2 linked regions of the Oreochromis niloticus genome follow. The protein of the gene in region 2 interacts with the protein of the main gene of each other region in a biochemical or structural test. Links are inferred from orthologs where the notes say so. Each region holds a gene or a part of one and is shown on either strand. Other genes may lie near its edges. The genes, in order: E3 ubiquitin-protein ligase pellino homolog 1 and irak4.

Evidence for each region.
Region 1: of the proteins of irak4 (region 2) and E3 ubiquitin-protein ligase pellino homolog 1, one has a biochemical effect on the other in vitro, tested with the Homo sapiens proteins (4 studies listed by BioGRID and IntAct). The link is inferred for Oreochromis niloticus from reciprocal best matches to the Homo sapiens genes IRAK4 and PELI1.

The regions. Positions count from the first base shown.
Region 1 is NC_031971.2:1,152,160-1,168,235, forward strand, and holds the start of E3 ubiquitin-protein ligase pellino homolog 1, read right to left. Parts: upstream 8,729-16,076; 5' UTR 8,503-8,728; intron 1-8,502. Other genes in the region: uncharacterized protein LOC109202627, read right to left, coding at 13,485-14,249. UniProt on the Homo sapiens protein: E3 ubiquitin ligase catalyzing the covalent attachment of ubiquitin moieties onto substrate proteins. Involved in the TLR and IL-1 signaling pathways via interaction with the complex containing IRAK kinases and TRAF6.
Region 2 is NC_031972.2:47,511,671-47,527,113, forward strand, and holds irak4 (interleukin-1 receptor-associated kinase 4), read right to left. Parts: upstream 6,944-15,443; 5' UTR 6,717-6,943; coding exon 6,556-6,716; intron 6,454-6,555; coding exon 6,308-6,453; intron 5,972-6,307; coding exon 5,822-5,971; intron 5,374-5,821; coding exon 5,213-5,373; intron 5,134-5,212; coding exon 5,069-5,133; intron 4,975-5,068; coding exon 4,860-4,974; intron 4,759-4,859; coding exon 4,649-4,758; intron 4,158-4,648; coding exon 3,971-4,157; intron 3,513-3,970; coding exon 3,450-3,512; intron 3,146-3,449; coding exon 2,981-3,145; coding exon of another isoform or gene 2,954-2,980; exon of another isoform or gene 2,009-2,953; intron 1,436-2,008; coding exon 1,373-1,435; 3' UTR 256-1,372; downstream 1-255.

The sequences.
Region 1 (16,076 bases), on a different chromosome or scaffold from region 2:
TAATAACCAGTCTTGTAAGGTCAGATTTCAAGGATAGCCAATGTCAGGCTCAACTGAAGCCAAGAACCCCCCCAAAAACCCCAGACTAACTTGAACTTATCTCCTTCAGTCTTATCTGCGACACGAAAACTCTCGATCACATTTGTATTAACAAGTGCCACGTCTCTAATGTGAGGTACTCTACTTAGTGGACAGATTAAAAGTTTACGATGCTTGACGTCAGTAAATTGCTCTAGTATTAGCAGATGTATTCTCAGGGTGTTGTTCAGTTACTCTTGCTGTAAGACTTTTGCTAAGGCTTGAAGTCATAACCCTCCATGCCTCAATATAAACGCTAATCTCACACTATGGAGATGCAGTTGATTATTGCTAGTTAATCATATACATTTTTAAAAGCCATGGGTATTTCATTCATTTATTTCATCTTGAAGATCAAAATTGTAGCTGGAAAAAAAAAAAAAAAAAAAAACTGCCACAAATCTTTATTACTACTACTACTACTACTATTATTATGATTATTATTATTATTATTATTATTATTATTATCATCATCATCATCGTTGTTATTATGCATATTTTTCAAATATCAAACATATTTTAATATGAGACAAAGACAACCTGAATAAACACAAAATCATTCATTTACTGAGGGGGGAAAAAAAACAAATAGCCACCGAATTAAATTATAAATTATCGGGGCACGGCTATGGCGCTGAACTGAACATACGGCTTTTGGTGAGCTCCTGGTGTAAAATCCTTAGAATTATACTTTTACGCCACGAACAGTAAAATTTACCACCTGTGGCCATTTAGCATAATTTCACGCAAAAATATACCAGCGAAGAAGGCACTAAATAAAGTTAAAACTAACCCTTCTCCAAATGAGGACGACGACGTATCGTATGCTAGTAGTCAAGCTAACTCAGCAGATGATGCTTGTCCTGAGCCACGCGTAGGCGAGAATACTGGAACGGCCCACAACATGGATGTCATTCAGATTCTCAACGAGATCAGGAATGACTTTTCCACAAAAATTGATGTGGTGCTGAAAGCCATACAGGACGTTAAGAGGGACGTGCAGGACTTCTCGGCATGCATGGATGAAGCAGAAGTGCAAATTAGCAATGTAGAAGACACCGTTAACTCAGAGAAAAACAAGTCTGATGCGCTTGTTAAACAAGTATCTCTCCTCACAAATAAACACGACGAGCTCGAAAACTGCTCTCGCCGATCCAACTTGCGACTAGTTAACATGCCGGAGAAAATGGAAGGAAATGATGTGGTGGCTTTCCTGTAAGACGGCTCCCTGAGGCGCTGGGACCTGAAACATTTCCAACGCCACTCTACATTGAAAGAGCACACAGGCTGCCCAGCAGGACACATCCGAATCGACCCAACACTCCGCGAGTCCTCATCGCAAAGTTTTTAAACTTTCAGGATAAAGTCCAAGTGATGTGAGCAGCCAGGGCCAAAGGCAAAGTTACCTGTGGCGGCAGGGAGATTTTGTTTTTCCCAGATCTATCGGCAGAGCTACACCGGAGAAGGAGGTGTTTCAACAGGGTAAAACAACAGCTGAGATTGATGAACATACGCTACGGAATACTTTATCCAGCCAAGCTCCGAGTGCCATCTGACAGACAGATACGAGAGTTTGAAACCCCAGCAGAGGCTGAGAAGTTTGTCCAAGGCTTAAAATCTTCTTGAATATCCATCAGTATCAGCTAAAATTGCTTATCATGGGGATTATGAGCCAATAACATATTTGCTGAGGGTTTGGGACTTCACTATTCGGTTGGCACATGACTTTTCTATGCCCTTTTTTTTGTTGTTGTTGTTGGTGGTGGTGGTGGGGTTTTTTGGCTCTTTTGTCCCCAGAAGTAATGGGTTCTTCACTTGTGTTATAAGCTGCAGGAGAGACTCTAATGAACATTTCAGATATACACATGTTCGTGAAAATATTTACTATCGCCGGGAGACATATGGAACTTGTTAGTTATATTTTGTTCTTTTAAGATTGTTTGGTCTAACTGCTCCCTTATTTACACTGGATCGGTGTGTGCACGTAACTCCACCCGAAAGTCAGGGAGAGGGAGGGAGGGCTGTCTGGTTCAGGGTGACAGCTAAGGGGATTTGTTTATGGCAGATTTTCAGTTTTTTGTTTGTTTTTTCAATACTTCTCAAAAGATGTTGCTTTTTACTGGTGCTTCCCCTATGTAACACACATAGGAAATCAAAAACATCTCTCTCAACTTTAAAAAGGGAAAAAAAAAAAAAAAAAAGATACTAAGTGATACAATGGTAAAGGGGGGGATGGTAAAATTGACTAAGCTAAAGCAGGTTATTACCAGGCTTAAGCATCTGAAGTCCTCAATTGTTTTTTAATCCAGGAGACCCATCTACTCAGAAACGACTTGGTGAAAGTACAAAGGAGATGGCCAGGCAAAGTACTAGCGTCCTGTTTCCTCTCTCATTCTAGAGGGGTTATGGTGTTAATTCATAACTCAGTGCCCTTTCAGGTAAATAACACCATTTATGACAGAGCGCTTAGATTTTTGGTGGTCCAGGGTACCTTCTTGAAAGAAAATATAAATTTGTTTAATTTCTACGGCCCCAATGATGACAACCCATTGCTCTTTGAGAATTTGTTTTTGTTATTGGCCGTCCTTCCTGGTAAGATAATATTGGCAGGTGACTTAAATTGTACCTTAGACACAAAGATTGCTCGCTCGTCAGGGACAGATACCTCACATTCTCAAACAAGAAAGAAACTACTTCAATATATAAAAGATTTGAATCTCTGTGACCCCTGGAGGACTCAAAATCCTACCAAAAGGGAATACTCATGCTACTCTTCAACTTTTAAAACCCACTCTCGAATAGATTATTTCCTTATTTCCTCATCTTTGTTACCTAGTGTAACTGACTGTATTTATGATAGTATTGTTCTGTCAGATCATGCCCCAGTCTCGCTATTTTATAATGTTGTACAAAGTGAACAGACACTGTTTTAACTGGCGTTTACACCCTAAATGGTTACAAGATTCTGACTTTATAAAATTCCTAGGAGAACACATTGATCTCTACTTCTCAATAAATAAAAATCAAACAAATGCAACCACCAGATGGGAAGCATTTAAAGCATATATTAGAGAACAAATGATAAGCTTCACCAGTTCTAAATTTAATAAATTCAGACAATGAATGAATTGGACTCTAAAATTGGAGAACTAAAGAGAGAGGTTATTAAAGACGATTCAAGACAAAGCAAAATATGAGGAGCTGTCCTTGTTTAAGACTGGGGACGTTGAGGAACTGGTGAGAAAATAATGTAATGAAAATATGCTAAATACTAAATTTACGAATGTATACAGTACAGACTATCCTGTACTCTTTTTTTTGGATTTTATTTTATATTTTTTAAATTTCCCTTAGTATTATTAATATTAGGGGTGCAACGATACACAAAATTCACGGTTCGGTTCGATACTTTGGTGACACGGTTCGATATTTTTTCGATACAAAAAAATGTTCATGCCTTTTTAATTTATCATTTATTAAAATTATAAATATATATTTTAACTCAAAAGTACAGTTTTTAAATTTAATGTTGCTGAAACAACAAAAAAATAAATAAATCTATCTGATCGAGAAATCACTCATCTTTGGAAAAGAGAGTTTATTACAGAGAAATGGCTCTTTCCAAAATAAAAGCTATACTATACGCTTCTTCTGGGGTATACTCTCAGCAGCATATTAAACATATCAGGTCCCCATAAGGAGAATCATGTGCTAACGGCTGTCTAAATGACTCGGGTAAAGTTTGTAGCAGTAGTTGTTTTTGGCTGCTTCCACTTGTCTTTGCACTAGGATGATGTCGGCGTAAATGTGCAGTCATATTCGTTGTGTTCCCACTAGTGCGGTCAGCGTTAATCTCGTTAAAATGACATTAACGCCATAACGCGGCAAATCTCCGTTAACAAGTTACCGCGGATCGCCCCGTGCTTGGGGCTGGACGGTGTCAACACGTTAACAAGCTAACTGCGCTAACGCACTAGTTCCCACAAATTGAGCATTGCGTGGCACATCCGACATACTGTTTTACTTTTGTCCATGACGCGCTTACCATCAGGGTCATGCTTCACATGAAAACCAAGATAGTTCCAAACGCCAGATCTGAATGAGGGTGGGGGAGGTTCAATTTCGGGTAGCGTTGAGGCAGTTGCCATGTTGCAACGAGCTTAGCTTCTGTCTTGCTAGCTTGCACTACACTCAGTGGATCTGCACATGACAGTGCAGCCTAGGTGGAGTAGTCGAACGCAGATCCACTGAGCGCTCAACACAGACAGCATCGTCAGAAGAAAAGTTGATAAAATAAATAAAAAATGTTGTATTGTTCGATACATATGCGTACCGAACCGAAAGCACTGTATCGAACGGTTCAATATCAATACGAATATCGTTGCACCCCAATTAATATATATATATATATATATATATTTTTTTTTTGAATGTCTTGTGTTCTTAGTGCTTTCTTACTGCCATATGTTCAAGGTGTTTAAAGTGTTGGATGTTTATAAATACAAAATTCAATAAATATGTTTACAAAACAAATTATAAATTATCTGCGATTAAACATACTTTTTTTGGAAAGTCAAGCTCAATTCCACTAGCCACACGTGGGCCAGATTACTGCCAGATCTGTTAAATTAAGATATCACTTAAATAGAATCTGTCCTACAAAGTGGAGTAGACTAAAAAGACTTCAAAAAGCAACATCTCACAGTCTAAAGAAACAAACACAGTCACTGACATCCACCAGCCAGAAAAGGTTTACCAACCATTTCTAAGGCTTTAAGATTCCATTGATCCATGGTGTAAGCCATTTCCCACAAACAGAGAAAACTTCCAACAGTGGGGAACCTTCCCAGGAGTACCGGGCCTACCAAAAACACTCAAAACATTCATTGACAACTCATCCCAGGAGGTCAAAGAAGAAACCAGAACATCATCTAAAGAAATGCAGGCAACAAAAAAATAACATCTATAGTAGGGCTGTGCGAAATGACCAAAATCTCATATCCCGATATAAGAATTCTATCGTCCCGATAACGATATAAATCACAAAAACGTAACACTTTCTGTAAATTCTGTGAATCTCGGGCAGCTCGTCTTGCGGGAAGTGTTTCCAGCTGCGCATCATGTAGCTGGAGTCGAGTGTTTTAATCGATGCATGAAACGATACATTTTTAGACATAAGTTGTAACGGCCGCCGTTTTCTTTGTGAATATTTATTACACGGCGTGCTGCAGGGAAAAGCCTGTTCTAACGTTTTAGTCTAAGGTTTATTTTTTAACACCTGGCGGCTCTTTTTTACTTCTCATCCGTAAATAATCTGCTCTTTCACGTGATTCAGTTTATTTTGAAAAGTCTCAACAGGATCTTGAGCTTTATTGTGAAAGGTTTATGTGGAACACAAACAAGCGAACAGGCGATGCTGTTACCGTCGTTGTTGCTAACGACAACGCATAAAAACAGGCGCTTGTCCGTCCGTAGTGTGGTTATATAAAATATAGGAGAACGAAAGAACTTTAAGAAATTAATATAGCCACTACAGTGACCATCAAAACGATGAAAAAATATTGCCGTAAACAGTTTATTTTGCGACACCACAAAACAAACGATTGCGTAAAATTAAACGATCGACGTTTTTATATCGTCATCCGATATATATCGTTATATCGAACAGCCCTAATCTATAGGAGAGTACAAGTACAAAAGGGTCATGTCACATTTGCCAAAAAAACATCTTAATGATAACCAAAGCAGAAAATACCCTGTAGACTGAGGAGGCAGAAGGTGAACTTTTTGGAAAGTTAACATTCCATTTCAACTGGGTTTGAACTAACAACACTTCCTCTACAGTGATGTGAAAGACCCATGCAAACATTTGCAGTTCTTGGTGTCAAAAGTGCCACACCAGCAGGTTCAGGGGGAAATTCATTTTCAAATCGGGCCAGGTATGTCTAAACAGCCTTTTTTCCCCCCATTGAATGGTAAATGGTAAATGGCCTGTATTTATATAGCGCCTTACTAGTCCCTAAGGACCCCAAAGCGCTTTACATATCCAGACATCCACCCATTCACACACACATTCACACACTGGTGATGGCAAGCTACATTGTAGCTACAGCCACCCTGGGGCGCACTGACAGAGGCGAGGCTGCCGAACACTGGCGCCACCGGGCCCTCTGACCATTAATAAATAAAATCATGATTTACAAATTGCAATTTGTAATTCTCATGCCATCTTTGTTTATTATTTTACATCATGTGCCAAAAAGTCCAAAAATAAAAAAGAAAGACATCATAAACAGGGAAAATACTTTTCCACAGCACTGTACATTGAGCTGTTAGTCACTTTTTTTCATTATCCACTATGAAAAAAAACAGAAGACAACAGAATAACACCTGACACAAACGGGTACCTCTATCTGACCACTATATTGTTTCATTACTGTGAACTGTGAAAGTAAGGTGTTTACAGTCCACAAAACTGCAGAATATTCACCAATCACAGATGGCTCACACTTATTTAGCCAGGCCAGAATGCCAGCATGGGATAAAACCTTTATTAGGATTAAGACAATCCTAAAGTGCAAAGAACTATCATGGCTATGAGAGTTGGAGCCCTTCTATGGCTTACATGTATATGATGAAACTCTAAAAATAAATCTATTTGAAATTTTGAACTATGCTAGAAAATTATGAGTTTACTTGGAAAAAAGTTGAAGATATAGATCTATGTTAAAATTCAGAAAGAAACATCCAACCAGTATTTCTAAAACTCTGAGATCTGTAACTATTATTGAGCTGAAATGAAAGATTAAGTTATCCTAACCTAAAGCTCAAAGGAAATGTCAGCCAAGACTTGTGGGTACTATACAAGTTAGTTAGCAAAAGATGGACACAACAGGATAAGCTCTGATGTACAATAATGTTAAAGAAATAACAGGAGGGCGGAGGTGTTGGATTTTTACCAAACCAGACCAGCTACAAGGTACAAGACCTATAACACCCTGTGATGATTCCACATAACCTCTGAAGAAGAAATACCTCCCACTCCACACACATACCGCAGAGGTGCCTCCAGAACACGAGCAGGCATGTTCTGCATATACCTAAGAGGGGTGTGAAAAAGTGGGGACTGGCCAAAAATAAAGTCAACATTTTCAGAGATCTCCTCACTCTAGTGGTAGAAAGTCAAAGACATGGCTTTTCTGTTTCATTATCTGGGTGTTGATTGGCTCTCTGGCGACAAAGTTGGGACAACTACCATCCTTAGCATTTCAGAGTTCTCTCACAGATTCGTCCTCAGGATTAATATCATAATTTTTCTGCTCTTTTGTTTGTGAATACCAGTTTGAACAATAGCCACAGAAACGTTAAAGTATGTAAATCAGCTATAAATGGTGATATTCTGATAATAAAATATCTCAATTTACGTAAACTGTAAGCATCACTTCTGTTTATCCTCTTGTGCAACTCTCACCTAGAACTCAAAACTTTCCAGGCTTTAGATCAACATTCGTCTTTGAAGATGGGCTGACACATCTGTAGGCTTTTAATATGAGGGGACAGATGGACAAAAAGGACAAAGTTTCAAAATTTAAATGGGGAACAAAAGCAGTGTCTGTGGAGACAGATGCTCTGGTAGGATGGTGAATGCTAATCAGTCTGTGTGGCCAGGACAAAGGAGGCCAGCTGGGCTACAGGACAGGACGGAGTACCACCACGGACAGAGCCCTGTTTAAGACACTAAATATACACACACTACCTTTTTTACCTGATGTAAATAATAACTTCAAATCCTGAATTCAATGAGCTGTAGAATATAGCAGTGTTGTGTGTACATTTTAATTAAATATCTGGAGTTCTATTTGTGGCCACTCTATTGTGGACAAATCAGTACGACACACTATTAAAGAAAAGAAGCTATGTAACTGGAGTCTGCAGACACTTCAGAGTCGTTTATGACATGCATAGAACAACTCCACTTTACAAGTCACTACGAAAAAGACGTGTCACCGTAATTTATTACGAAATTTAATACCATATACGACCATAAAAAAGCGTCGATAAAATTTGATTTACGTTAACCCAAACTCACACATTTTCACGAGAAACCCCCCCAAAAAACTTGTGTTTGGGATTTTGTCAGTGAAAAAAAAAAACGCGTATATGGTTATTTAGCGCTTACACCTAAACCTAAACCTTGAATGGCTTAAGAAATTGGGTACACTGTTGTTGCCCTATATAACGTCATTACGGTAACTCGTAGCTAGTTAGCATTTTTCGATCGTAAAACTTGAGAAAAAGGAGAGAATGTGTTAGTTCATTAGGTACTTATTTAGCATAAGGTTAACACTGACTGCAGAAGACTTAGTCGGCGTTAGTGGCGGTAACAATGACGAAAAGAATCAACTCCTTAGACAATTAACTCACCGAAGTTACTGTTCGTCTTAAAGCAGTCGAATGTCCCGGATGTCTTTGTTCCAGGGAACAAACGCTGTTAGCCGTTTCAGACCATAAAATGTCAAAGTTACTTCAGTTTTTACCAGGTGTTCGGCGACGTTTTATCGATATAGTTCCTAACAAACCCACACTGAGCGAACGCTGGCTTCTCCGTTTTCAAACTCAACTGTGCCTCTTAGCTATCAAGGCTACTGATTTCCGGTTCACATTTCAGAGTAAAACAACGTAACTTACTTGAATACCAAAATACTCAATACTTACTCAAATACCAAATTGTTTTCAAGCTGAAGTAAATGCCATTAGTTTGTCTTATAAACTCGAAATTACATATACATATACATTTCTTTAGTTTTCTAAGTTTATTAAATTGATTCAGTTTTTTTCCATCCATCCATTCTGTTATTAAGGGTTGCTATTCCAGCTCTCTTAGGCAAGAAGCGGGGTACACCCTGAACAGTTCGCCAGACTGTCGCAGGGCTAACGCATAGATTTTTTTTTCCAGTTTTTATTTTTATTTTAGTTAACTAAAATGATTTTCATGTCTACTTTTAGTTTTTAGTTTTTCCTCATAGTTAATTAAGAGAACATGGTTATTTGAGATGCTGAAATGTTTGCACCATTAACACTTGTTTTACTATGAAAATACAAAACCTGTACTTCCAGTTTTCTCTGTGGTCTGCGTGTGTAGCCGTGCACAAACAACTATGATTGTCATAAACCTAAGTTTATGACTTGCTGCAGCTGTTACCCCAATAAGACATTCTCTTTAGTTAGTCAAAAGTTTCCTCACATTAGGTCTTTCAGCTAAATTCAAATCAAAATCTGAATCAGAATCTGAATACTTATTAATCCTGGGGGCAATGGTTTAGTAACAATCAATTAAAATATAAATATGAAAGACAGGAAATGTAACTATAGAAGAATGTAAACCACATAGCACAGATGACAGCACACAAGCATAAAACATCCTGCGCATGAGATAATATATTTAAAGCCAAGAAGTCGGTAGTGAGCAAAATACGTGTCAAGTACATTCCAGGGTCCTTAATCGCCGGAAATGAGTAAGCTAGGCGGATAATATGTATGTAAAATGTTAATAATGTCTGTTTAAACCCCGACGTGTCTGTTATGCATTTTGGTACATTAGGCTGCTGCTCAGACTTTTGAAAGACAAGAGTGAGTTACCAACTGGTTCATTTTGATTAACCGTCCCCAAAGATGTAGAGGTCCAAGCTTCATCCTGTTCCTAAATGTACTTCAAAAAGTTAGCTTGGTAGTTTTTTTTATGTAAATAGTGTTGATTTTTTTTTTTTTTTTTTTTTTTTTTGGTATTTTTTCCAGTCATGTCACAACACAATTTAAATCAGATATTATACGTAAAACATCGATCCGTCTATTTTCTTATGCCAGTTTGAGGCAGGCTAACACATAGAGACAGACAACAGACAAAAATAACAAGTACTGGATAAACAGAACAGCTGTAACAAGGCTCTTGCCTAGAAGCGTTATTTCCGGTTAAGGTAAAACGCTATGCTGTGCTGGTAATGGAAGAAGAGCACTGTCCAACTTTGAAGTGATCTTAGTTCCTGGAAAATGAGTCATGTTCCTTTACTGAGAGTATTTGATCTGATTTTTACAGCCTTTTCTTTTATTTGTATTTAGGATCCCAAGGTGGAAAGCGTTTCCCAAACAACGGGAACAATAGCATACACTAACAGTCATGTCAGACATTACTAACTGCAGTGTGCCACTGTGTAGACTAAACACTGAATTGCAGGAGACTGAATTCAATGTTTAGTCTATGGAGGAAGATTAAACTCTGACGTCACAGTTCAGCCTGTCAAGGTCTAAATCATCTGATTGAAGACAAGGCTGATAATCTTTAGATATGAATTTTATATGCTATACATTTTTATATGCTATATGCTCAACTCAACCTGGCAACATGCAGCGCATGTGGCACGGCATCCATGCCATCACCAACTACAGAAAGACGACACCTGCCTGCCAGGGTGACGCCTCCCTACCAGATGCACTGAACAACTTCTATCCACGGTTTGACGCTCAGAATGATGTGTTGGTGAGGAAGTCCACCCCCACTCCTGGACTTTCTGACGGCGAGACCTCAGACAGTCCAGATCGGTAACAGCATCTCAACACCACCACACTGAGCACTGGAGCCCCTCAGGGCTGTGTGCTCAGCCCACTGCTGTTCACTCTGCTGACTCACGACTGTGCAGCAATGCACAGTTAGAACCACATCATCAAGTTCACTGATGACATGACTGTGGTGGGTGTCATTAGCAGCTTTGATCTTTACTTTTGTCTTCTTCTGCTTTTTCCACTTCTATTTAAACAACTGACAGATAATTGTAATAACATTTTTATTTCTTTTGCTCTTTTTAAGCATCCTTAAAACATTGTGGTGCTGTGAAAATCACATAAGGATAGCATGACTGATGTTTTCTTTGATTACAAAAACCTCATGCAGGAGTAGGAAATGAATAATAGCTATTGCTTTGTAAATAACTGGATATGAATGACTTGAGCTTATTATATAATATTATACTACACCATATTTCTAACCAACTCAAGTGTGTGGTTCAATTTCTCTTGACAGTACTTCCTTTAAAAATATAACACATTTTGGGATGAACTTGAAAGAAATGCACCATGGCATCATCTGGCAGCAGATTTTTATCAAGAATGTTTTGGTACGTTTTTCCATTCATCCTTCCTTCAATTATTTGAAGTGTGCCAGTACCATATGCTGAAAAACAGACACACACCATCATGTTCCCACCTCCAAAATTCACTGTTGATGCAGACTGAGCAACTTTCTACTGGCTGGTTTAACTGTCTGGATTTTGGCCAAATGTATAATTGCCAGATTCTGATGCACTCTTCCTTTCCTGGTCCTCGTTATGAGTTCTTTTTTTAAATCATAGAAGCTGTGCAATACTGTACAGCAGATTAATGGGACAGCACTGCAGATCCTATAAAACATGCCTCTGGTTCTTCAGCATTAAAGTAATCCAGTGACAGTTATGTGTATTTCCACTGCTGCACAGCAAGCAATAACTGTTGATAATTAATTTGGCAAACTTTATTTTTCAAATTGTAAACAAGTACGGTTTAAAACAGCGCTTCTTTTGCTGTATAAGAGTAACTCAGATTAAGCCAAAAACCGAAAGTGTCCATCAAAGTAAGCAATCACATAAGGACCCCGTCCTACTTTGGGCTCCGCCTCCACATAACTTCATACGTTGTTGAATTTAGGCGCGAGGAATTTAATTGCGCCTGTGAAATGAAATTATTTGCTCAGATCATTATTATTATTATTATTATTTTGCTCGCGCATTTGTTATAACCTAAATGTCATTCCATATTTGTATCTTCTGGTTTCTCACCAATCTAAGGGGCTCATCATCTCTGCCAAGTTCTCGTTAAAAGAAGAAGAACTTAATGAGAATGCTTAATAGGACTGCATGTTACAATCCTTAGACTAATTAGCACAATCCTTGAGTGGGTTGGAAGCGGGGGAAGCACTCGAACTAATTCGACGTTTCAAGTCATAATGCGACAATATGATTCTTCAGTTCCGACACATCATGTTTCCGCATTTCCTTGTTCTAACGCTTTTGGCGGCACATGTTTTCCCACACCCAGCTTCTTGACCGCGTTTTCATTCATTCATCCAGGGATAACCAGAAGAAGACGTTTTTCGACTCGCAGGTCAGCTCAGACTCGAGTGCTTTGTTTTTATTAGCTTGCTTATGGCGTTTGGATGTTAATTGTCGGTGTGGTTTATATCGCATAAAGAATCGGAACACGTGTACTTTTTATTACTTAATGTATCATTTACTCGTCGTTCAACTTGCTGGGTAAATTTAAATTCATCGAAACAATTAAAATTTGGATTAATTAAACTCAAACACAACTTCCGTCGCTAGAATAACGAGACACATATATATTTATTTAAAGTTAATATCACTTTAATGTTCCATCCTCTGAAGTTTCACGGTTTGAGTCTTTAGTCAGGCAGTTGTTTTTAAAAACACCAATATGCTTTAATCCGTTGAACATGTATTATGTTCCTTGCCGTAGATTAAGAAATACGGTAGAATAACGTGATAAGACAACATGTGGAGATGTGACGTTAATGCTTATTAAAGATGCAGGTCGATGACTCACAGCCAGTCTCAGATAGTTGAGTACAAACCCTGCGGCATGGGGTGGCATGTGCCACACAAAAATGATGTCTTGCCACCCTAGTTTTGCATATGACAGTGTTGTTTATTAAAATAAGATAACATTAACTACAGTTAACACTAAATATAAATTCTAAAACTAAATATATTGCATAGTGTTATCCCCCACCCCTCCATCATTAACAAATGGTTCAGCCCCTAGCGCGGACAGGTGTCGTGCCAAAAAGTGTTCGCCTGCCAAAAACTGATTTCCAATGTTTCCGTGTGTTTTTTTTTTTATGTGTAATATCTTAACGTATGTTGGTAAATAGACTTCGGTGAACAGGGTTTACGAGAGGGTTAGGGGAGAGTGAGGTAAGATGAGCCACTTTTTACTCATGTTGCCCTGGATGTGAGAAAAAAATGACACAGAAATAGAATGATAACATATTCCTTTATTTCAGGATGTCTCCTTTCAAATGTAATGATCAGAATCTATGTCTGATGACGCTGCCCAAAATAATGACCTATTAAAAAAAAATGCTCCTTTGGCTCAACTTGCCCCAGATTAGGGGTAAATTGAACCTAGTCAGTGGGTAAACTGAGCCATCTTGGGGCAAACTGACCATGTAGTTTTTAAAATGTAAAACTGATCATATTGTGAAAACAAACCATTTTAACAGTTGTAAACCTGTGAGAACAAACCTGGAAACTGGTGGTTTCTAAACAAACCACCAGTTCAAAACCATTTATTCAAAAGAACTATTCAATATTCCAATGATCAAGGTTGCAGGGGAATATGAACTGTTGCTCCCTCCTTGCAGTTCCTCCAGCCTGTTGAGGTTGAGGTAGCTTCTTCAGCACATCCTTGCGTGGGAAAGATGCCTCATCATTTTCCTTGAACACAAACGTGGGTTTCTTACTGCTAGTGATCCCTCGGATTCTTCTGAGAAATCTGGCACTCACTTCGTTGTCTGCAAAGCTGTCAACCAGGCCAATGTAATGGTGGCTCCTGGATTTGGATGCAAATCTTACGATGACAAAGTCACCAACTACCAGGTCTGAGACATCTGGTTCACTTCTTTCATCGCTGGAACTCTCATACTCAGAAGTGTCTTCAAATGGGATGGGAACATCACTCTCCTCAGAGCTGCTTTCCACTGCAATTTTTGTCTGGGTTTGTTTCCTCTTCCACATTCCTTGCTTTTTGTGGATTATTTCTTTTTTGCCTTTCAGTTTATTTGTCCTTTCTTCATGGGCTCTCTCAATTGCCTGCTTTTCAGGTGTATCAGTCAGGATTCGTGTCTTCACACGCTTTCGATTTGTTTGTTTCCTGGGCTGCTGACTTTTGGGTAAGGGTAGAATATCAGTGGGAGACACATATCGAGCATGGTTGGGGTCACTTCGTGAACCACATGCATGTACAGGGTCTGGTGAAGGTAGCTCAGCAGAAAGAGAGGCTGAAACCACAGGTGCAACACCTTCAGCAGCAGGCTGCTGCTCCAGGTTGGGCCTGTCTGACACCATGGATGGCTCAAACTCTGCATCAGAGAAGATATCTCTGTTGTAAGGGAAAATCCCAGTGGCTCTAAATCCCGAGGAGATATTTCATGGTGTCATTGCTGACATGAAAGCATCATTCACACAACCAGCAATTTGGTATATGCTGGCAGTTTTGCCTGGGTTGGACCTCATCCAGCCATCAAGAGCTCTGTTGTAATAGGTTTTAAATGGACCATACACACACTTATCCAGAGGCTGAAGGCCTGGGAAGTGTGGGGTGGAATTGTGAGCATTACAATACCACTTGTTTTTGCTATGTCCAAAGCCTTCAGTGAAATGTGGGCTTCATGGTTATCCATGATTAGCAGCAGTGGCAGGTCAGGGGAGCACTTGGTCTGCTGAACCAGATGTTCAAGGAACACAACAAAGACATCTTCACTGATCCAGCCTGATCTTGTAGTGGTACCAATTGATCCCGGAGGTGCTCCTGCAATGAAGTGGTCTTTGTATCTAACTCTTGGGAAGATAAACATCGGAGGGACTGCGTTACCAGTCGCATTGACAGCACAGACTACAGTCACCAGTTCGCCTCTTTCAGCAGATGTGATGGAGCCCACTTGTTTTTTTCCTTTTTCTGCCACTACCTGCTTTGGTGTCTGTACTGTTGTTACACCTGTTTCGTCAACATTAAAAATCATGTTTGGGGGGAATTTATACCTGTCAAACAAAAAAAGAGCAATGATGATTAGTTAAATTTTTAAGTAATGCAAAAAATGTTAGCTGAGAGTACGCATATTTATTCACTTAACTGTTGTTTGTAGTTGTCATAAATAGTTATTAATGTTTTCAATTAGATAACTTCTGTTACCTGTCGATCACTTTAGCCAGATTGTCAAAGAACTCCCCAACTGTAGTCTTATTGAAGGCTGTAGCTCTTCCCAAAGATGTTGCCTCAGGCATACGGCAAGAGAGATGGTGGCGTGCCAAAAAATTCTTGAACCATTCTTTACCTAAAAAATGTAATGGTAAAGTAGTAAACTACACAAAATACATTAGTCTGTGCCAACCTACTGAAATGTTGTTTCTTGCACTTCCTACTGGCTAAACCTTTCTCTGTCCAGTTGCTGGGAGTAGGAATGTTGTTTCTGCCTGCCAATTCTAATGCCAGTTCACGGCATTTCTTTGGGGAAATGCCATGGAACTGCTCTGCAAGCTTCTTGATATGCTCTGCTAGCTCCTTCTCCACCTCCTCAGAGAAGACTCTCTTTGCTGAAGCTGTTCCACTATAGCCAACCGATCTGACCTCCTGTGTGTCCCTCTTTTTAATATATCTCCTGAGTGTTGACCTGTCAATTTGTCTTTCTTTAGCCACTGATCTTATGGACTTTCCTCCCTTGACTTCACTCGCTGCCCTTTCAATCTCCTCCAGGGGTGTTGAGCCCCAGCTGGTCTTCCGTCTGTAGGTCCTTGGCATGATATCTTTTCTATAATAGTTAACATATGACAAATACAACAAAAGGGTTCAGTATACTGAACTAAAATACTATTTAATAAGTCAGAGCCTTAAATAAATTTCAGTGCCTTATGGTGGGGTAGGTTGAACCATTGGATCAATTTACCCCATAGCCTTTGGCTCACTTTGCCCCATAGCCACCATTTTGAAAAAAATGGGCTAGTTTAGCAATTTAGGCTAATCTTTAGAAAACTTCTTCAGATGATATTATATTTTAGAAACCCACCAACATGTATAATATATCATTTTAGACACAGATACATTTGTTTTAATATTACAGTCAATTTACCTGATATGCAGAAATTTTACTTTGACAAGCAGAAAACATTTTTTTGTGT
Region 2 (15,443 bases):
CTCACCGCCCGACCACCACCTCTACCCCGAGCACGGTCCACAGAGGAACATTCCTGCTTTGGGGAGGGGAAGGCAGGAGGGAGGGGGGGTTAATCATTTTCGACACGCTTGTTTAAAATAATAAGACAAAAACCTCAAATTCCCACAGAGTTCACCCACAGACCCAGCTATGCACGCCAAGGACAACTGAGCAATGACACACTTCAGAATTTCCATTTGTAGCTTGCCAAATGGAAGTACATCCATGTAGGTTAGTACATTCATAACAATCCTTTTACTATAATTCAGAGAGGCCCAAACCAAGTCAAAGATGAGGTTGTTTTTTTTTAATTTTCACATCGTTGCCAGCTCTGAGACTTCAAAAATGTTAGTGTAACTAATGTGAACTTTCGCCAATATGATGAAAAGACCCCATTTTGTGTTCACGTGCTCAAATTCCTAACTTCCATTCCTCCTCGTGTCAATTAATGTTTCTGTGTCTAATGTGTTGATTATTTGTCTCCTACTGTTCGCACAATGAGGTGCTCCAAAGCAGAAAAAAAAAAATTCTCAAACTTGTGTCTGACGATTCATTTTAACAGTCCATTTTATATTGGGGGAAAAAAATTGACTTCTTTTTTGATATAACTGTGGTTTACATGAAAAAAATCATCTGCTGAGATACTTATTTTTCTATGCAAGTGCTGTAAATGTACATATTGTAGCTGTGTGATGCTCTTTGATTAAGAAACAGTCTGGTCTGTTGAGGTAGATGTCCACGTCGGTAAGGATCACAGTGAAAGAACTGGGGCTTCCAGAAATATTACATCCACACATTTCAGATTTCACAAGGAAGGAAGCTTTTCCAGCTTTTCTGGTTTCCATAATGACAGGGAATGCCACGCTACTGGATGGGAAAGGGAATAATATAATTACCTTGATCAAAATGTTGCCACATCCACTGATGTACTGATTAATATTAGGCAAACTACTTCGCTCACCTCATGTTTGAAGGGAATATCCCTTTATGTTCATACAGTGTCATTATAATAGAAAAAAAATCATGTTTGGTCTTATGTTTTCTTATAATTCTTTTAAAGAAGAAAAATAAAATATTTAAATCACGTTTTCTTTCACTTTATTTCTTTAATTGTTCGTAATAAATACATTTAACAGTGGCGAGAATAACCGCAGTCAGCATTCTGAAAGAGTTCGGCCATTAGATTTGTTTAAAAGCCTCACAGAAATGTATTCAGCAGTATTTTTACAGCAATTGCACACATAAGCTACAAGCCTTTAAAAAAAACATAGTTAAAGCTTTGCAGTGCAGTAATTCTTCTGTCAGTCTGCAGTGTGATTTGAAGCAAGCTCAGAATTCCCACGATGCTTTGCTTCACGCCTTTCTATCAAGATCCAGTGCAATGTTTTTGACGACTCCGTGAATCTCTGCGTAAACCTGTTCAGACACACAACAATCATAACTACATCATGAAGTTAGCAAACATATATCGTAGCAACAATATGACATTTTCCTTTAGTTCAGCAAGACGAGAGTGCAGTCTCCATTCTCTTACTGCCTGCATTTGCTCCCTAAATCCCCTAAATAATATGTTTGTTATTACATAGACTCCCCATACACTTTATTAGGTACACCTTGCTATATCAAGTTGGGCCCCCTTTTGCCTTTAGAACTGCTTTAATTCGTCGCAGCACAGATTAAACACAGTGTTGGAAACATTCCTCGGACATTTTGGTTAATATAGCGTCACACAGATTTGTCAGGATGTGGTGGATAGGGAGATTTGCATCATGCATTCATGATGCAAATCTCCCTTTCTATCACGTCCCAAAGATGCTCTATTAAGGCTAAGATCTGGTGACTGTGGAGGCCATTCAATTACAGTGAACTCGTCATGTTCAGGAAACCAGTCTGAGACGATCTGAGCTTTGTGACATGGTGTGTTACCTTGCTGGAAGCAGTCATTAAAATGTCGGTTTACTTTGGTCATGGTCAACAACAACACTCAGGTGGGCTGTGGTGGTTAAGCAATGCTCAGTTTGTATTAGGGGTCCAAAGTGTGATAAGACAATGTCCCCCACACCATGACACCAACAGCAGCCTGAGGTTTTGGTAAACTGCTGGACTTTCATGCTGTTTATGCCAAATTCTGATCTTATCATCTAAATGTCAGCAGAAATCAAGACTTATTAGACCGGGCAATGTTTTTCCAATGTTCTGTTGTCCGAGTGAAGTGTGGCCTCGGATTTCTGCTGCTCATCCCATCTGCTTTAAGGTTCAACATCTTGTGCATTCAGAGATGCTCTGCTGCATACCTTGTTAAGATAACGAGTACTGTTGCCTTCCTATCAGCTTGAAACAGTCTGCCCATTTTCCTTTGATCTCTGGCATGTTCACCCTCAAAACTGCCGCTCACTGGATATGTTATGTGGGAAAATACCAGCAGCTCCTGAAATAACCAGAGCAGCCTGTCTGGCACCATCTACACCACGGTCAAAGCCACTTAAATCACCTTTACTTCCCATTCTGATGCTTGCTTTAAACTTCAGCAGGTTATCATTCAATTCAGTTCAACTCTGTTCTATTTACATAGCACCAAATCGCAACAAAAGTCACCTCGAGGTGCTTAAATAACCACAACCATGCCTACATGGCAGTCAGTTGCTGCCATGTGATTGGCCGTTTAGATATTAGTGTTAATAAGCAGTTAAACAGGTGTATTTAATGAAGTGTCTGGTGAATGTATTTTTGCTAATAAATGCCATTAAAAGAAAACCCAAACTATGACCCGACTCAGTTGTTAATGATCCTCTTTTCTTTTCAAAAACTAAAACAAAAAAAATTCCCTTTGTGGGATTTCCTTATTCAGCCTGGTCCAGCTGAGGCTCGTAACACAGGCAAATAGCTCAAGGTGCAAAGCTGTGCAGATGCCAACACAGTAGCTTGACCTATACATTAAATCTGCTGGGATCTTTCCTGTACCTGTCTGATGACAGGCCGTCTGTTTTTCCTGTCATGGAGGCAGTTGCATGCCAAGGAGTAAATACTCTCCACCTGGCTCAGCTCCCAGTCTTTCATTTTTTTGTCCACAAAATCCTCCAGAGTCAGCTCCTCATCTTCATCGTCTATGTCATACCTCATCTCCATCTAGGAAATAAAGTAGGGAACACACACACACACACACACACAGTAATGTAACTGTCATCTTCTGCAAGCATGTTCCATAGATCCTCACTTGTATATTAAATATCAAATGCGGTATCAGCACATGATGAGCACAGATGAAACTTTTAAAGGTGAAAGGTTTGAACTTTTTTGTTTAAATCCTTAACAAATTGACTATTAACCGATAATGTTCCCTGACTTATTAAATGCAAAGCCTTTAATCAGCCGTAAGCACAAAATGTAGCTTGCCAGATAACACGATGAAAGCCTCTTTTGTGTAACTTACCAAGAACTGTGGCTCCCGGTTTTCATCAACTGGCGGGAGTCCAGACAATATTTCTAACAACACCTGTAGATGGCAGAGAGACGGGGTTAATCGCACGGCTCTGGGCAACAGGAAAACTTTATTACCCTAATATGTGGCGGGTAACATCGCCAACACTGCAGTATTCCCACAGCATGTGGGAATGCATATGCTTCGTGGCAAGGTCAGACATTTTAATAAAGCACTGGTCCCAGAAATCATCTAATATGTTTGACAATTATAGCTACTAATACACATAGCTGTGTCCCACAACTGATTTGGGATAACGACAGATGATAAATAACAATAGAGCTCTTTTTTCACGAATAGGGAAAAAAGTATACTGCAACGCTTGTGTCCTGCAGGTATATATGTGTCAGTAGTTTGGGAGAACCTTGGAGTCAAGGAAAGTGCTGAGTACTGCTCTACATTTTACATTACAGCTGCAGTTTCTCCAGCCCTATCTGTGTGTATCTGTGTGTGTGTGTCTGAAGAAAGCCTACCACTCCAAAACTGAAGACATCGGATTTTGGTGTGATCTCTCCTCTTAGCGCCTCCGGTGCCATGTACGCACGGGTACCCACGATCCTCTCAGTCATCATGGTCGTCGATGTTCGCTTGGCCGATGCTCTCGTCAGACCAAAGTCTGAGATTTTGGCCACAAATTGTTCATCTAACAGAATGTTCGCACTAACAGGGAAGAAATACGAGCCAGAGTGAGCAACAAAACATCCCGTCATGTGTCATGTAAAATGTATATTTCTACATTTAGGGAAATGTGATTTTACTGGCTTCCTTGCCAAGAGTTAAACTAAAACATCAATACCTCTTGCATGATTTTGCTCATGAGCCTCTATAAAACTCACTAAATTACCAAACTCTACCTTTCGTGCCCAACCTGTACTGTTGCATTACTAATTACTCATGATCTTCATGATCTTCACCTTTTTCTAATTTTTATTTAGCTCTAAAGAGAACCTTGTCATATGATCTGCAGAAAACCATATGGGTAAGCTTTCTCTACATCCCCAGTCTTTTTTTGGTTCTTTGTCTAACACAGTAATGTGATGTAATGTGTATAGTGTTCCATAAAGGTACGGGACATCAAAAACGGGACATTTTCTCTCTTCTTTGTGGGATATCTCTAAACCAATAACGATGAAAGCTTTCGCTCTATGAACCTTTTAACATCTCTGTGGACGTGATGGTTGGAGTGCAGATACTCCAAACCTTTGGCTGTTCCTTCTGCTATCAAGCACCTGTGGTGCCAGGAAAGTGGAGGACTTCCTTCCTAAATGAACAAAAAAAAAAAAAGCATGTAATTAAATCCCTTTCTGAAAGCACTGGGACTGAAAAGCAGACTGTTTGTGTAGAAGAGTAAATAATGCTTACAAAGCAAGCCAGTCGGTCTAATAAAGATCCATTGGCCATGAAAGCGTACACTAAACACAGGTGCTGTTCGTCACAGGAAAATCCAACCATGTCAACCAAGTTCTCGTGTTTCAACCTGTGGAACAAATGCTGTTATTAAACCACACCTGCATTTGTAAATACACGTATGTTAAATATGCTTCTTCACCTTCTTCCTGAGGGAAACTTACACTTTCAGAGTCTGGATCTCTTGGTTGAACTGATCTTGCAACTTGTCCAGTGGCATGTCGTCCACCTAAATAATACAATATCTCAAATGCAATTAACAGCAGTACACAGAGGCATGTGGTTCTGTTAAAAATATTTTCACTTACTGGATTGAGTTTTTTCACTGCAACTGGTTTGTCATCCAGGAGACCTTTGTATACCGTCCCAAAGCCTCCCTCTCCAATTCGGCTGCCACCAGCTGACGTGGACCGGTCATCAAAGTTGCCTGTGATCCTCATCAGGTCACTATATAAGAAACTGGAGAAGCCTAAGGGGGGAGACGCAGTAAACTGCCTCATTAACTTCTCTGATCAAGAGCCCGATGCTGCCACCTGCTGTCGATTACATAAAATCACATCTTTACAAAGAAGCAGCATCACTTACTGAAATCAAAATATCATCTTTGTTGACTACCCTAAACCACTATAGAGCAGCTTTGTTTACAGTGCTCTAATGTAATCAAGTAGATTTATTGCACTACTTTAGTGCTGCAGTGGCAAATTTACATGGTGCTGAGAAAGATATGACATTTTAATTCACTGAAACCAGGCTTTTCAGCAGATAATGAAAGATGAACATTATCTACTTAAAAACATCACATGAATATGACTCATAAGTGACTGTGTTAATAAATGTCATACGTGTCATATGTTCAATGTCATATGTTCAATCAAGATATGAACATAAAATTAATACATAATCAAAAAGTGAAAGACCTGTGTGTATTGGTTCGGTGTTCTCCTCTGGCGTCCGAAGCTGCAGCACAGTGGTGACAGGCTGCTGCACATCTCTCTCTTCCAGCAGTCTGGTTGAAGCAGTGCTTCGGGTTTTTAAAGGAGTCAGCTGTGTCTCCAATGGACTGGACTCTTCAAATGTGTGAGGACAAAAACAAAAAATGATCAGAATAAATGATTGGGTTTTACATCCTGTATCAGTGCGGTTTGACTGTTTCCCCTTATGTTCCAGGCATCACACCTTTAATATAACATAACAGATGTTTACTCATCCACTACCCAAAAAGTTCAGAAGTTTTTTGCTACATCTCTTATTGCAATTTCATAACTCGTGGTTAACATCTTATTTTCTTACAAGAATTAAAAAAAGGGGGGATACTGGGAAAACGATTTGGGGTAAGTTAAGATTCAAAGGTTTATTCTACCTGTTGCGTGTGGTTACTATTTAATGGCTTTTAAAAGTCATACCGGGTAGCAGAACATTGGCAGCAGCCAGTAACTCGTGACTCTTCAAAATGTCCACAAGTTCACCCACTGTGCTCTTGGTGGTCCCCCAGTCATTGAGCAGCTCCATTGTGGGACTGCGACCCTGTGCAACAAGACCCTCAAATCTCCTTAAAAGACAGCGGCACATATTCAGTAAACAATAAGTAAACAATCAGTGTGATTTCATTCAGTGAAAAGCAAGCACGTCAGAAAGTTTGCCCCCATCTTACCTGACATGAAGCTGGGAATACCTCGGCTCCCCGCTCGGTTTCTGTATATCTACAAGAACTTCTTTCCACCTGTCCTGAGGATCCAAAAAATCGGACAACTTGCGACGTAAACAATAACCGAGGTTACGAATATAAGTAGCGGAAGTTACTGAACTATCCATTCTGCGGGGAACTTGTGACCAAACCCGAGATTGGGTTTTATCTAACAGTCATGTTGTCATGATCTTAGACCTGAAGACGTTAATTATACTCCATCGAGTGGATTCTTTAATCCAGAAAAATCGCAAACAGTTATGTTTTGCTCACATACCTAAAAAAACAGTGTTTTCCGATATTGAGCAACTTCCCCAAACGTAACCAGCAGGGCTGGCCCACAAAAGGTCTCCGCCTACAAAGCGGAAACGCAAAGAGTGAGTGCTGTGGTATAATACAGTCTGTGCTGGCTGTTCTTACCTGTAAGCGGGCACAACAAACTAACAATAAACCTCCGTGTGTTTATTTATATAATTATCTTTTTGGTAACACAAGAGCACAAGAGCAGAAAGGGAGACAGCTGTCGTGTGATGGTGGTTTACAGTGTCACAGTGCCCTCTAGTGGATAATGGAAATAAAGCAAATCTTCCATTCGGGGCTGTTTGTGTATGGCTAGTGCTGTTGCCTTCCAGCAAGAACACCCTGGGTTTGAGTCCACCACTCGGCTGGGCCTTTCCTGTGTTGAGTTTGCATGGTGTCTGCGTGGGTGCTCTGCCTTCCAGAGACATGCAGTTAGTGGTGCCCGTTGGTGTGAATGGTTGCCTGTTTTAGTCCTGCGTCAGGTTGGCGAGCTGCTCAGGGTGTAAACTGTCTCTCACCCAAATGATATCTGGGATAGGCAGAAAAGGATGGATGGAATGAATAACAGAGAGACCTTAGAACTGTGATTGAATTCATAATAATTGCTGCGTATATCAAATATTATAATACTTGTATGCATATAATTTAAATGCACAAAAACAGAAGAAAATAGAAAATAGTTCCCTTAACATCTTCTCAATCTCGATCTTCATCTTCTCTTATTAAACTCTAGGTTTAACGCATGCATTCATTTGGAAATGTGATCATATAGCTATATAAGTAAGTATTATGAAAAAACAAACACACATCTTTTTTGTACCTATTTGTGTATGGTGAATACATGATTTAAACACTCAACTGGACATTTATGAACTACTATGTTGCTACATCAACACACAATGTAAACCAAAGGGTGTCATTTTTGCAGGATGTTAGGTATCGATCAGCCTATCCATCACCCATAAGGCACTTTTTTTTTCACTGGTGTTTAAATCACAGTCACAGTCCAGCACAGACACCCCCCCCCCGCCCCCACCCCACCCCAAATAAACTCCCCAAATGTGTTGCAGGACAAACTGATTTTTTTTTCTTGGAAACTTTAAAACTACATCAAGGCGGTGACCTCGATCGAGCCATCTCATGTCAAACAAATTTGGCAAACAGCTGGAGGCATTTGGTCTAAACTGCTTGGAGTACCTTTTTTGTTGTTTCTGTGTTACAAAAAAGCTGGATCTGTTTATGGTGTGTTAGTTGCTATTTGCACTGTATTTGATGAACTGTGATCAGTTCCATGTGCAAATGGAAGGCTTAGCTGTATTACTGGATGGGATGGATTACTGGGTGGAGTGATGAAGTGCAAGATGCGTGTGTGAGAGACATAAATTTCAGACAAAAAACCCACACACAAGATTAAAACTTTTTTTGCATCAGAAAAGTCTTACAATAGCATGTTTTAAATGCTAATATGAACAAGTGAAATTAAAATCCATTTGATATTTATTGAGCTATTAACATCAGCTCAACCCATCAAACAAACCATCCACAGAGACCTGCTGCTAGCACTGTGCACACACCAAACTGCATCAAAGCAAAAATTCAAGTGTGCTTGAGTTTTGATCTTATTTGATATTAAACTTTCAGTCATGCATGGGCACAGTTCTCACTCCTTCTCTGAACGATTGTTCTTACATTAAAAAATATTGCGTTCAACTTTTGTTTATTAAATTATATTCAAATGCAAACTTCAAAAATGTCATCTCAATCTACCCAAAGTCATCCAACACCTATTTTAAGTAAGACATAAATAATGTTTGTATGTAAGGCTATTACTTTTAGCATGGAGCTTGTGAAACCAGTGACCCCGAGCACATGGCCATCACTGCACCAACAGACTGAACTCACAACACACGCTAACACAATTCTTGAATGCTGCATGTGATTTTGATGAGTCCCGATGATGACAAGCAACATTTGCATGATTTTACACAGTTGCGAGTCATTTCACTATGTCTCTGTGAAAGGAGCATACAAGAGATGATCTAAGCAGAGAGAGCCAACTGTAACCCACAGGCCTGTTATGATTATATTTTTATAGGCTTGGCTGATGACACCACGAGTGATACTCTCAATAAAAGTTAGTGACTCATAAACTTAAAAACAACTTCTATGACAATGCATACAGATGGTCTGCATTACATGAAAAGGAGACTTCACCACATAAATAACCAAAGTGCAATTAAGTTATTTTGTGAAGGAAAAGCAATGAGAGCCATTACTGCAATTGTGGTGCCCAAAAGTGTGTATTCTCTTTATGCTTGAGGTTTGATGCCATCTTTTGCAAATACATAATACATGAGACCAACTGGAGCTCGTCAGAAGTTGTTTATTATTAAATGACAGGTGAGGACATTTGAGTACCTCTGCATAATGACATGGGACTTCATTAGAGCAATTGTATGTTGTTAGTAGGAGTTGGAGTGTATCTGTACCTGTCTTCTTTCTGTGTATGTGTGCTAACCTGGGGTGCGAACACAAGCCAGCGGTGCCCAAGAGATCATCAAAGAAGACGCTTGTTTGACGAGGACCTGAGCTGCCGAGAGCTCAGGTAAATTCCCTGTGTGTGCTCCTGGTGAAGGATAGCTCTCACACCTGTGCGCAGGAGATTCTTTGAAGTGCCTGATCATCTCGTGCCTCCTCTAACCCGACTGACAGGATCCAAACACTGCATGCACGCATCACACGCAGAGGCAGGGAGTGAAGCCAGAGCCTCTGCTCTCCTGTGGCGAGTGGAAGGATGAAGGGAGAAGAAAATAAAGAGAGCTGGAAAGGGAGAGTCTGACGCTAAAGATGAGGAGAAGTATAAAAGTTCAAAAAACAACAACAACACAAAAAAGGAAAACTAACAGCCAGCACAGGGGAGAAGGCTCTCGATAATTAGAGTGCAGAGGGAAAGAGATGGAGAAGAGGATCTGATAGAAGCGAAGGAGAGGTGGAGATGTGAGGGAGAGCAGAAAGCGAGGTCCCCTGTAGTTTGGGAACAAGGGCAGAGGTGGTAGACGTGCCAAAGTGGCTTAAATCAGCGGGTGGAAACGCTGCAGGTGCAGGAAGTGATCTGAGGAAGTCATGTGATATCTAGGAAACTTTAATGGTAAACAAGGACACATGAAATGAGAAGCTGTGCTAGCCACGGATGCTATATGGTCCGTTGTGATTGCATAACAGGCAGAATTACGTCTATTTCCCAAATGACCTTGATGGTGATGGGGTTACATGTGGGATATTTTTTTTGCAGCAGACGTTATTGTTTCATAGCTTTTAGGAGTCTGGAAAACTCTTATTAACTGTTCAACTTAATAAGTTGAACAGTTAAAATTGTTAAAATTATTGAAATGTTTTGGAAAAAATTTTGAGAAATTTCACCCTCAGAATAGCAGATGTAGCCTTTATATAATAAAAAAAAAAATCCCATTAGAATATTATTTTCAAAGGACTGTGATATAGTTCAAAACTAAAGCAGATAGGGAATAACAATAAAACACAATAACAGGGGACATAAAAGGCACAATTCTCAAATAATAATGAGTATTTTTTTTAAAACCATTAAAACCATTTGGTGCTTGTTGCAAATGATCCAATATACAAATATACCATTTTAAAACATGTGTTCAGCATTATGCATCACAACTGTACCACAGTGAAAATGTGTGTTTTATTAAGAGGGAATGTGTTTTTAAAATTTTGCAAGTAACGTGAATAAAATCTGCAAATTTCAAAAAATTAAAATCAGTTGTATAGTTAAATTTTAATGCATGTCTGGAACACATGATGGAACACGTTGGAACAGGAAGGGGCCGTCCCAAAACTGTTCCCACAAAGTTGGGAGCATGAAATAGTTCAAAATATCTCAGTATGCTGAAGCATTAAGAGTTCATTTAACTGGAACTAAGGTGCCGACCCATTTCCTGAAAAACACCTAATGTCCCCTTTCACCACACTTCACACTTGGAAAGTGTAGCCAGATAAGCATGGTTCTCCTGGCAACCTATGAACTTAGACTGATTCATCAGATTGCCAGATGGAAAAGTGGGATTTGTCACTCCAGAGAACATGTCTCTACTCCTCTAGAGTCCAGTGTCTCAGGGTGCTTTACATGACAACATCCAGTGCTTTGCATTGTCCTTGGTGATGTAAGGCTTGGAAACAGCTGATTGGCCATGAAAACTCATACCATGAAGCTCTCTATGCACTGTTCTTGAGCTGATCTGAAGGCCACATGAAGTTTGGAGGTCTGTAACGACTGACTGTGCAGACATTTGGTGACCTCTGCACACTATGTACCTCAGCATCTGCTGATCCTGCTCTGTGATTTCATGTGTCCTGCCACTTCACGGCTGAGTTGCTGCTGTTACCATTAAGTTCCACTTTACTATAGTACCACTATAACTGTGGAATGTTTAACAGCGAGGAAATTTCACAACTGGCATTCTATCACGGTACCATACTGGAATTCCCTGAGCTCCTGAGAGTGACCCATTCTTTCACAAATGTTTGTAGAAGCAGTCTGCATGCCTGGCTGCTTGACTATATATACCTGTGCCCATGGAAGTGATTGAAACACCTGAACTGAATAATTTGGAAGAGTGAACGAATCCTTTTGGCGGTATAGGAGTTTTTGCACCTCAAAGGAAAGCTGCAACACAATTGTGGCAATGATCGAATGTACACTGACAGAACCAGAGGGCAAGTTTGGAAGTAAATGGAGATGCTATGATGCTATGATGACATGTGAGAAATTGACAGTACAGCAGTGAAGGCATTCTTTGACACCTTCTTAAGAGATCACATCTTCAAATCAGATAGCTGAATAATTAGAAGCTTCCGCCATGGTTTGCTGTTAACAGTCAGGATGTATATTGAATCCAACTGAGAAATGTTTCCATGCATAGAAGTGAAGGGGGAATATCACTGGTCTCTTGAGCAAATGTCTCGGCTTATTCCAAATGCTTGCTCCAAACGGCACGTTTAACAAAGACTCTAGTAGCAGTAAAGGCAAAGATTAAACAACAAGTGCAGCAAAAATAGATGATCGAACAGAAGAACGACAAAAATCTGAATCCAACACCTTTGTTATTCTCTCTGCCCTGTGCATGTCACATTTCAGGTTGAACACTTTTTCATTTGCTGAACTGTTTATACCTAAAAAGAGACAGCAGCACAAAACCCTCCCTGATGCATGTGTGCATGCAGTGCTTTAAGAAATTATGGGCTTCAGACTGATACATCCCACTTTTTAGTTAAAATAAAAGAGAGAGAGAGACTGATTTATGCTCATAAATCAGCACCAAAGATGCAGTGTGTACAGTCTGTTGAAATTAATTAGCAGTCTTGTCGGGGAGTTTAACAGTTCACCCAACTCGTTGGAGGTCTCCCATAGTTGAATTCAAATGAGCCAAATGAATGGGGAAGTCCAGAGAAGAGCAACGGGGGGTATGGGCACAGCATCGGGGTCAAATGGAAGAGCCTCAATGTATCTCTGAATGTATACTGCCTGTGCATACAAGGAGTTTAGCAGTGTGCCACTGATAGACACTGAGAATTCACTGCAGGAGGTCTTCTCTCAAACTGGAACACCATTGATCCGATTTAGTGCGCACTGAGAAAAACCCCAGGGACTGAACAACATTTTAATAGCCTTTTGTGTCAGAAGGTGTTTTATGGCTATGAATTTTAAATGTTTCTAGCTTTAATGTTGATGAGACCCATCTCTGTGTTGCATGTTTAATCTTGGTCAGATGTGTGCACACAACAATACTGTAATGGCCCATTAGACACATAGAGGGCAGCCTGCAACTACTAATTAATGACTAGTATGGTAAATATTAGCACGTCCTTAAATATGCATAAACCTAGAATATGGGGCATGGTTGAAATCTCTCTCTCTCTCTAGCACACGCACACATGCACACACACAAAGAAACCCGGTCTTTTTTCCTCTGCAGCGTATAATAGTTCACATAATTTAAGGCAATACGGCTTGAAGTCAACCAGAAATTAAAGTAATTTTTGTGTTTCAAAGTATCCTTTCATTTCTGCCTTGTGGGCTGAAGAATTTGCAGGGAAAGAGCAGCTGTTTGCCTGTCCAATTTCCTCTTGGCCTACACACACACACACACAAGCACACACTCACACATCCACAGCTCATCAGGAGTTTACTTCTAAGGAATGATCTGGCGGCATCTTGAGTGGCAGCTCACCACTGCGTTGCACTCGAGTGGTCATCGACACTGGGTGATTGCGGGAGGTTGCCCTCTCATATTTCCTCAAAAATCTCTGGCTGCGATCCCAAAATGTTCTGTCCGACCAAGCACACCAGCATGAGAACAAAAAGAACAGCCTCCCCTGGCATCTCCACCACCACTCCAAGGCTACTAGTTAGCACGGTGTATTCTGGGGCATCTGGCAAAATGCCAGGAGTCATGCAATGCCATGTCTGAATTTAATACAGCATGACACATAGAAACAGACCATTAGGTGTATTTATTAATATAAGCATACCTGTTTTATTTTGTTGTTGTTTTTTAAATTGAAGAGTGGAAATAAAAAACAGTAAGATTTTTTATAGAAATTTGCTCACAAATTTTATTTTGTCTCGATAAAGACAAAGGACACAAATCTAAAAAAAATCTCCGGATGTAAATACTTTTTTTATCTTTGGCTGTGACGTTGTTTAGTCAACATTAGCGATAGTGTTAACCACCACAGCATTTTGCTAGATAACAGACTGTGTGGCAGTTAAGATACTGTAGGTTTAAACTTTTACACTTTTGCTTTGCTCACTGTATCAGTGCACTAGTTTCACTCAGATTAACTCATACAGTACTCTCAGCAGCTAATTTGGCCTTGAAGATGTAAAAATGTAGCAATAAACTAGAAAAATTGTTGTGAATTGTGTATGAGTTACATGCTATATGTTGCACTGCACAAACATGTAAGTTTTTTTTACACTTACTGGGTAGTAAGTGTTAAAAAAGCTGTGACCACATGAGGTGGTGTATCTGGAGCATGTTTCTATTAATATTGTGACATTGTGGCAGATCACTGTCCTTTATTAAGACTGGTTTCGCACCCCTACAACAGGAATGGTTTGATAGGTCTACTGACATTTTTTTCCCTCCTAATCTTTTCAGGCTGTTTATTAATTAGTTTTGCATTTTGCTATGATCAGTGTCACTACTGGTAGCATGGGGAGATACTTGGAGCCTGCAGAAGTTGCACAGGTAGTCCAGCTCCACCAGGATGGCACATGAATTTGTATTATTACTAGAAGGTTTGCTGTGTCTCCCAGCAAAGAGCATGGAGAAGATTCCTGGAGCCAGGCATTTAGTCTAGGAGAGCTGGAGAGGGCCGTTGAGATTCTTAACCCATCAGCAGGAGCGGTATCTGCTCCTTTGTGCAAGGAGGAACAGGATGAGGACTGCCAGAGCTACAAAATGAGCCCCAGCAGAGCAGTGGTGTGAATGTCTCCAACCAAACAATCAGAAAACAGACTTTGTGAGGGTGGCCTCAGCACCCGATGTCCTCTAGTGGGCCTTGTGCTCTCTGCCCTGCACTATGGAACACGACTGGCATTTGCAATAGAATACCAGATTTAGCAGGTCTACTACTGGTGCTCTGTGCTTTTCACAGATGAGATCAGGTTCACTCTGAGCACATGAGAGATATGAAATGCTCTGGAGAAGCTTAGGAGAAGGTTATTCTGCCTATAACATCCTTCTGCATGACTGGTTGGGTGGCACGTCAGTGACAGTCTGGGGAGGGACACACAGACTTCTACAGGCTAGGCGAAAGCAGTAAGTATCTGACCCATCTTTGGAGCCATTGTCAGACCCTACACTGGTCCAGTGGGTCCTGGATTCTTCCACAATGCCTGGCTGCTTGTGATGAGACTATGTAGACAGTTCCTGGATAAGGAATTCATTTCTGCTGCATAATTTTTCACTTTGATTTTTGGGATATCTTTGAATTCAGCCCTCTGAAGGTTAAAAATATCATTTCCATCAAATGATGCAGCATCCTTTCATTCCTAACACATTACCCAAACCACATTAGTGTGCATATCCAACATTATTTTTCCCTACTGATATCTGATGTGTTTTTAAAGTGCTGCTTTATTTATTTTTTTGTACAACATTGAATTGAAGCGACATCAATATCTCAATTTTCTGACCATTTTTCCTTTACTGGAAACATCAGACTAACACTTATTAGTCCTAAGTGACATTTGTAGCTGTCAGAGTGTCTGATCAAGCTGACCCACTGTGTCACAGCTAACATTTGCTCTCAAAGTCTGAAAATTGAAAATGGCACTAAAGACTATAGACTAAAGGTACTACGGTTTGTTTCCCCTCAGTCATCAGTCCATCTGAAGAGTATATAGTAAATCTGGCTCCAATTAAAGCAAAAAAATCAAAAATCAAAAATCTGTATCTGGCTTCAGTAACCACTTATTATTACAATTATTACAATTTCAAACCATTTTAATATTGCTATGCAAC